Linked DNA regions of Macaca fascicularis. The protein of the gene in region 1 purifies or fractionates together with the protein of each later gene. This does not show direct contact. Links are inferred from orthologs where the notes say so. Each region holds a gene or a part of one and is shown on either strand. Other genes may lie near its edges.

Region 1 (3,817 bases):
GCTAGAGATATTAAACTTCCAGAAAAGACTCAGGAAATGATTGAAAAAAGTTTAGAACAGCAAGCAAGCAGATAATGAAATCTTCACACCATCAGAAGCAGCCGTTAACTTGGCATGTGGTGCTCTGCTTTCTGCAACGAGGCATGTCAATTTCAAAGGGGAATAATGATGGTCATTCACAAGAGCATCGTGAAAATGGAACAAGATCCCCTCTGATATGTTTTGGACATCTGTCCTCTCTAAATCTCATGTTGAAATGTAATCCCCAGTTTTGGAGGTGGGGCCTGGTGGGAGGTGTCTGGATCATGGGAGCAGATCCCTCATGAATGGCTTGGTACCATCCTTGCGGTAATGAGTGAGTTCTCACTCTGAGTTCCCGCGAGACTTGATCGTTTAAAAGAGTCTGCGACCTCCTCCCTCTCTCTCTTGCTCCCTCTCTTGCCCTGTGACAGGCTGGATCCTCTTCCACCTTCCGCCATGATTCTAAGTTTCCAGAAGCCCTCGCCAGAAGCAGATGCTGGCACTATGCTTCCTGTACAACCTGCAGAACCCTGGGCCAACACATTCTTTATAGCAATGCAAAAACGGACTGACACACTCTCTCTACACACCCCCCACGCCCACTCATCTGTTAATACTGAGAATTGTTACTGTGAGAAGATTCTTACCTTTTCAGAGGTATGTGGAAAGATTTGCATTTTGTGGAAGGAACCAACATATTAAGCAAACTTTTTTTCTTTTTTGAAATGGAGTCTCACTTTGTTACCCAGGCTGGATCGCAATGGCGCGATCTTGGCTCACTGCAACATCCGCCTCCCAGGTTCAAGAAATTCTCATGTCTCAGCTTCCCGAGTAGCTGGGATTACAGGTGCACGTCACCATGCCCGGCTAATTTTTGTATTTTTAGTAGAGACGGGGTTTCACCATGTTGGCCAGGCTAGTTTCAAACTCCTGGCCTCAAGTGGTCAACCCGCCTCCGCCTCCCAAAGTGTTGGGATTACAGGCCTGAGCCACTGCGCCCGGCCTATTAAGCAAACTTTTCTTCTTTTAAGGTCTACATGCATTTATATTTAATGAGTAAAATAAAGTGAATGCATGGCAAAAATAGTTTTCTGAGGAATTTGAAATCTTACCGAAATGGAGAATCTTTTTTCCTTTTGTCTTTAAAAACACCCATGCTTGGCTTCTTGGAATGGGAGGCTCCGAAATCATAGTCCTCCAACTCTTCCCAGCTGTCTCCAGACTTGAAGACAGTCTGACCCCAACGCCTCCTACCACTTTTATGACTCAGTGTGCCATTTGGCTTCTGTGGTGGAAAATCAGTCATAATCTTTAATCATGTACTGAATGCCTTTCATGCACAAGCTACTACGTAAGACACTAACAGTCCCCATTCTCAAGGAGCGTTCCATACACTTAAGGGCATAACATATATACACATTTAAAAGCATGAACAAAAATGGGCGGTACATGCCAAAAATATGACAGGTGTTCAGAGGAAAGATCTCTGTGAACTAGGTCGGTGGGAGACTTGAATATTTTGGATCTGAGTTGACTCTTCATTGACACGAAGGATCTGGAAACCCGAGACTTGGCTATGTCTCTTTGGGCAAGGGACTTAACTTCTCAAAGCCTTAGTGTCCTCCTTAATTGGGGACAGCCTTAATGAGAAGGACACTAAGGCTGGCATGTGCCAGCATCTTTTACTTTTCCCCCTCCTTGAATATACATGACATCCAAAGACACACCAGTCATCCTGTGGCCACAGGCATGACAGCCACCTGCTCAGGGTGGTGGAGCGGGAAGCCAGCAGCAGCCTGCCTCCTCTGCAAGCTACATGAGCTCCACCACCCAATTTCTTGTTATGTGAGAAAAACAACCCCTATTGTTTAAGCCACAGTGGTCGAGTTTTTGTCATAAGTCCCTGAATGTAATCCTAACGGAAACAGAGAGGGAAGTATGAGTCTGACTGCCACAGAATGGAGGCATTGTTAACAGAAATAAGGAACAGGAAAGAAGTCCTGGCTTGGAGCACACAATGAATTGGTTTTACACAAATTTACAGAGTGGTTTCAGGGCACATAAACAGAAAAATCCAAAAGGCAACTCAAAACTAGGGAATAGAGCATGGAAAATTTTCAGAAAATACAGCTATGTTGGGTGCAGGGAGATGCTTAAAGAACGGACATGCTATTGCTTGAAGCTGATGGTGTCACAGTGATAGTGATGGATGATAACAAAAAGCAGTATTTGCCAGCTTCTACACTATTATTTTCTCTGCCAGGCAGAACAATCTCCAGAATAAAGAGAATAAAAAAGTGTTAAGCTCCAGATGAGTAGGGTTAATAAAAGGTTACCCTGAGCTGAGTTTGAGCTTCCCTTCTGTTGAATTGTATTTTAGGGTGCCTATGCTGAACGCTGCTGAACAATGTCAGTGATATCCAAGAATCCTGTGTGTCTGAGAAGACTGGAAAGTGGCAAATATAATACTCTTAATAAAGTAGAAGATTTATTTTTGCAAACTCCACCTCAGTAAGTTTGGTAGAGGATGAGGGCAAAGGTTCTAAAATCAATTATTAAAGGGGATGTTTGTGAGCACTAAGGAAAAACAGTGATAGCTCATATAGACCACACTTTTTCATGAACGGCAAACAATGAATTCATTCAATGTAGTGTATGTGAACTTTAGCCCATTGGGTGAAGGCAGCAAAGGCGATCAGCACATAGTTGAAGAACTTGACCAAGAGTACTGATGAATGGATCAATGTCAGTCTAGGAGAAGGTTGTAGTGGCCTGCCCAAGATCTCACGGTCATCCTATTCATCATGAAGATTCAGGAGGAAAACAGATAACTAAACAAATACATAGCTGGCAAGAAGCTGGGCAGAATGGGTAAACCGAGAAGAAAAAATAAAGATTCAAAAATAATTAGAAATTGGAGATGTAAAAGGTCTTGCAACTTTTTGAATCCTAGAGATGAAATACACAAGTCAGAGGTACAGAATATGCAATTTAGGAGAAGCATTTATGAAAAAATTGGTATACTTAGAAATTTTAGTTGACACAATACTTAATCCCTGGATTAAGTATTGGAACTTACCTATATAAAAATGTGTGTATGTGTGGCGGGGTGGGGGGCTAGGTTATTCTCTTTAACTTAGAGAATACACACAGGGTCCCTAGCATATGCATGGCACTTAGTAGCTACTCAATAAATAGTAACTTCCTTTCCTTCCCTCACAGTATGAGTCAGCAATTGAGGCATCTTCTAAGCGGTTGTGGGGAGGACTGTAATCATTGGTGGCACGAGTGCACACATGGTTTAGAGTGTTGGAGGTGATTCGTTCTGCTCTATATTCCCTGCCTGCTGTCTGCCTCCAGTTCTGGCAGCCTCATTCTAAGTGGGAAGCAGGATGAGAGGGGACTTAAAGGCATATTCATAATAGGAACTGAGAGTTATCAGTCATTGGTGAATGGCGTTATATGCAGAGCCCTTAAGGGAAATGGAGATGTTTCTCTAGAGAAAAGGGCAGATAATATAAGGGCTATTTTCAAATATCTAAAAGGCTGCCTTTCTAGAAAAGTGATTAGCCTTCATTAAAAGCTAGAAAACCAGATTTTACCCAGTATAAGGAAGAACTTTCTAATATTCAGAATTGTTCCAAAGATAAAGGGGACTCCTTGGGACCCCAGAGGTGGTGTGCAAGTCATGTGGGCAATTATTCAATCCTTCATTCACTGAACAAATATTTACTGAGAATCTACCATGTGGCGGGCACTGGTCCGGGTGCTGAGGCTGTACTGATAATCAGAAAAC
Region 2 (3,672 bases), on another chromosome or scaffold:
CTAATGTCACACAGCCAGTGAGTCTGTGTCCAGACACTGGCTCTTGGCCAAGCACTAAGCTATCCTGCCTCTTTTATGTAACCTGCCTGGCCCCCTCGGATCTTGAATCTGTGATCGCTGGCCCACCACAGTTAGGGAAATACCAGGGCAGGTCGAACCCTAAAGCCTGCCTTGCATCTGTTTGGGGTCCCTGGCTTCCAGTCGGATCCCTTTCTGCCTTCCCCGGGTGCCACCACCCTCCTCAGCTGGGATGAATCATTGTTGATTTTTTTTAATCATTATTAGTGACTTCTCGAAGCTATAAAGTTTCATTGATTTTACCAAAGGGCTCTCATCTGGTGCACTCTGAGATCCTCACATCCATTCTGGGAGCTGGAGGTTTTTATAGCCATTTTACAGATGGGAACACAGGTCCAGGGTTGACATGTGACTTGCCCAAGCTCTCATAGGTCATAATGGCAGAGGCAGAGCTAGAAGCTGGGTTCTGCAGATCATATTAGCTGGGTCCAGCTGCCCCGGGTCCTTCCACACTGGCCAGGAAGAGAGGCTCGGCATGATCCTTACATGCCAGGGCAGAATCCAGCCACCACCCCATTCCCTTCCAAAAGAAAACCTCCGCAGAGCTTGCCCTCCACCCTCCCAAGCAGCAGCAGCGTTTTACGTCCCCAGCTCCAGCCGCTCCCTGCAAGGCCTCTTTTTCAGCCTTCTAGGTGGTTTCCTTCTCTCTCTACTTGAAACTGTCCACCTCTCCACACACACCTGCTCCCCTTGGGCCTGGCACTCCCCATTTCCCCAGCACATGTCCAGTTCAGCTGTCACTGCTGCGGCTGCCCAGAGCATCAGCCCTGCCAGCCCCAGAGTCCCTCGAGCCACGCTGTCAGCCTGAGGGCAGCTGGCAGCCCCCGAACACACAGATTTGGGTTATGGCAACTTAGACGCCTCCTCAGATATTGCGGCCTTCCCTGACAGCGTGAACTCCCTGGAGGGCGTAGGTGGGGACGTCCGCACCCCGGACAAGCTCATCGACCAAGTGAACGACACCAGTGATGGCCGGCACATGTGGCTGGCTCCCATCCTGCCAGGCCTGGTGGGTTCCCAGCAGCGGCCACCGCAACTCCTGGCCCTCAGGCGGCCAGGGGGACTTTCTTTCCCTGGTCTCAGTGACGCATCTTTCTTCCAGGTCAAGTTAATCTCAAGCCAAGATGCTTGGGAGCTGTCAGAAAGGTTTAGGTCTTTGCTACCTTGCCTGATGGGGCCAGCTCTTCCAGGCCAGCAATTCTGTCTCTTTTATAAGGGGACACCAGGGGTGAAAGGGGCCCCATGGGAATCTGAAGCCAGGAACCCCAGCACAGCTGCCTGAGGGCTTGGTCTTCCTTGGTCCCTGCAGGCAGCCCTCTCTGGTTCTCTGCTCTGCCTGGCTTTGCAGCCGCTGTGCCCTCTTCCTCCCCACCCAGCTCTCTGCACGCTCACAGTTTCTGCCTCTTCCTACATCACCGGGTAGATGACCCCAACACGGCCGCCCTGCCCTCCTTCTGGCCCCAAATTGGCCTGGTCAGCTTTTCCGGCCAACTGACTCAGTTTCCCAGATCTCAAACCTTGCACTGAGTCCTGCTTAGCTTTTAGCTCTGAGGCCTCATGGTGAGCTGATGTGGTTGGTTGTGGTGGAGAGGAAGGGGAGAAGCCACAGGGCATGGACGGGGTGGTCAGCCCCCCTCCAGCCTCTCAGCCCGGGGCCAGATGCCTGGTAGGGATGCACAGCGGGTTCTTGACAGCCATATGACCAAGGATGTGTCCCTTGTCCATGCCATGGGACTGAATGGGGGATCGGGGGCACCTTTTTCTCTCAAAATGCAGGAAGGTACAGCGTCAGCAATTCTATGATGGAAGTTTTCCAAAGGCCACCCTAAAATTAGACCCCCCCTATTGAGCGTCCATCAGCTTCCCCTGCCCCATTGGAGAGGGGGCAACACAGCTCTGTCCTCCCTGAGACCCGGGCCACCCACTGGCGGCCAGTGTGTATTTTCCATTGTCTAGCACTGGAAGGCCTTTTGGGGTGAGGCAACTTCAGCTGTTGCTCTCGAGGCTGGACTCCAACATCTGTATCTGCTTGAGCCTCACAGGCAACTGACTTTGAGGACCCTCGCCCTGACCTTTATTTGTTTCCATGGTCCAGCCAGGAGGCTGGCCCTCCCCGAGCAGCCCCACTCCCTCTTGGGACATTCTGAGGATGGTCACAGGCTGGGGACCGAGGCCCGGGGCGGGACTGAGCCTGCAGCCTGTAGCCAGTGTGGAATGCTTATTTCTTGATTCTATCTTGCAAGGGAGGGTCCCCCCGCTAATATCTGAGAGCCTTGGTTGGGGGTGGGGAGAGGGAGAGCTGTTCGAGGCTGCCCCGTCCCACTTTCCCCACTGGATTCTGCCCCAATCTAGACAGCCCTCCTTACTCCCCCAGCAGAGGTTCACAGACACGCACTGGACATTGCCCAGCAGCACCTTGGCATTGCTTCTCAGCGATGGTTTGGGGAAAGGACAGACAGGGTCAGAAGCTGATCACCATGGCTGGTGCTCAACCCGAGCTGGAGACTGTCCCTTTAGCTCACGGGGCTCTACACTATTTCTGGGCCTGACCTGAGGGGACATAGGGGATGGCCAAGGATGTTCCCAATTCTCCACTGGCATTTAAATGAGGGCCCCGCCAGGCCCAAGCACACAGGCCCTCCAAGAGCCAGCTCAGCGGTTTGTTGCAAACGCAGCCACACGTGACCTGACTCAAGATGGGCTTCGAGGAGATGAAAGGGGGCGGAACTCCAGGCTGGCCCACGTGGCAGGCGCTGCCTTGGGCACCACTGCTCACCCCCAGCCCACGCCTGGCGCCCCCAGCCCAGCCAAGTGCCTCTGTTTCCAAACATGCCTGTTTTAATTAGTTCTGCTCTCTGACAGGTGAACCGGGTTTATGTGATTTTCGATCTGCCTACCACCGTGTCAATGATCAAACTGTGGAATTATGCGAAAACACCCCATCGAGGGGTGAAGGAGTTTGGCGTAAGTACTTATTAGCTGAGTTTTTTGAGATAATTATGTTCGTTGGTAATTAGGCCGCCGGCAATTATCATTTGTCGCAGTTTGATTTACTTCTCTCTGTTGCAACCCTCAACACAAATGCCTGGTCCTCAGATGCAGGCAAATTTACCACCCAACCATGAATTCAGAACCTCCTGGCAGTGATTTCAGTGTCACCCTGAACAAATAGAAAGTGGGTTCTCTTTCATCTTTTTCTCTAGAATCCCACTGGTTTGGGGCAGTGACCCTGGGATGGGGAGAACAGGGACCCTGGAGACCAGAGACCTGTTTCCTTCCAGCTCTGCTGCTTGTGCTAATGGTATTAAAGCCCCTCAGGCCTCAATTTCCTCATCTGCAATGTGGGCTGATGGCTCCTGTCTTTCCCAACGGCTGTGAAGATCTGAAATCACAAGGCAGGCACAGCACATAGCAGGCACTTGTTCCTGGCAGCCCCGTCTTCCCAAGGAGAAAGGCTCAGAGCAGTAATGCGCTTTGCCCAAGGTCAACGTGGGAGGGAGGAGGGGCACCCATGAGCTCCACCTTATGTCCCTGCAGCTCCTGGTGGATGACCTGCTCGTGTACAACGGGATCCTGGCCATGGTGAGCCACCTG

What was found.
Region 2: the proteins of MAK (region 1) and KATNIP purify together in Homo sapiens (affinity purification with mass spectrometry; 3 studies listed by BioGRID and IntAct, with this or other methods). This does not show direct contact. The link is inferred for Macaca fascicularis from reciprocal best matches to the Homo sapiens genes MAK and KATNIP.

What each region holds. Positions count from the first base shown.
Region 1 is NC_088378.1:162,157,545-162,161,361, reverse strand, and holds part of MAK (serine/threonine-protein kinase MAK), read right to left. Parts: intron 1,307-3,817; coding exon 1,134-1,306; intron 1-1,133. UniProt on the Homo sapiens protein: Essential for the regulation of ciliary length and required for the long-term survival of photoreceptors. Phosphorylates FZR1 in a cell cycle-dependent manner. Plays a role in the transcriptional coactivation of AR.
Region 2 is NC_088394.1:26,855,555-26,859,226, forward strand, and holds part of KATNIP (katanin-interacting protein), read left to right. Parts: intron 1-947; coding exon 948-1,087; intron 1,088-2,940; coding exon 2,941-3,042; intron 3,043-3,615; coding exon 3,616-3,672. UniProt on the Homo sapiens protein: May influence the stability of microtubules (MT), possibly through interaction with the MT-severing katanin complex.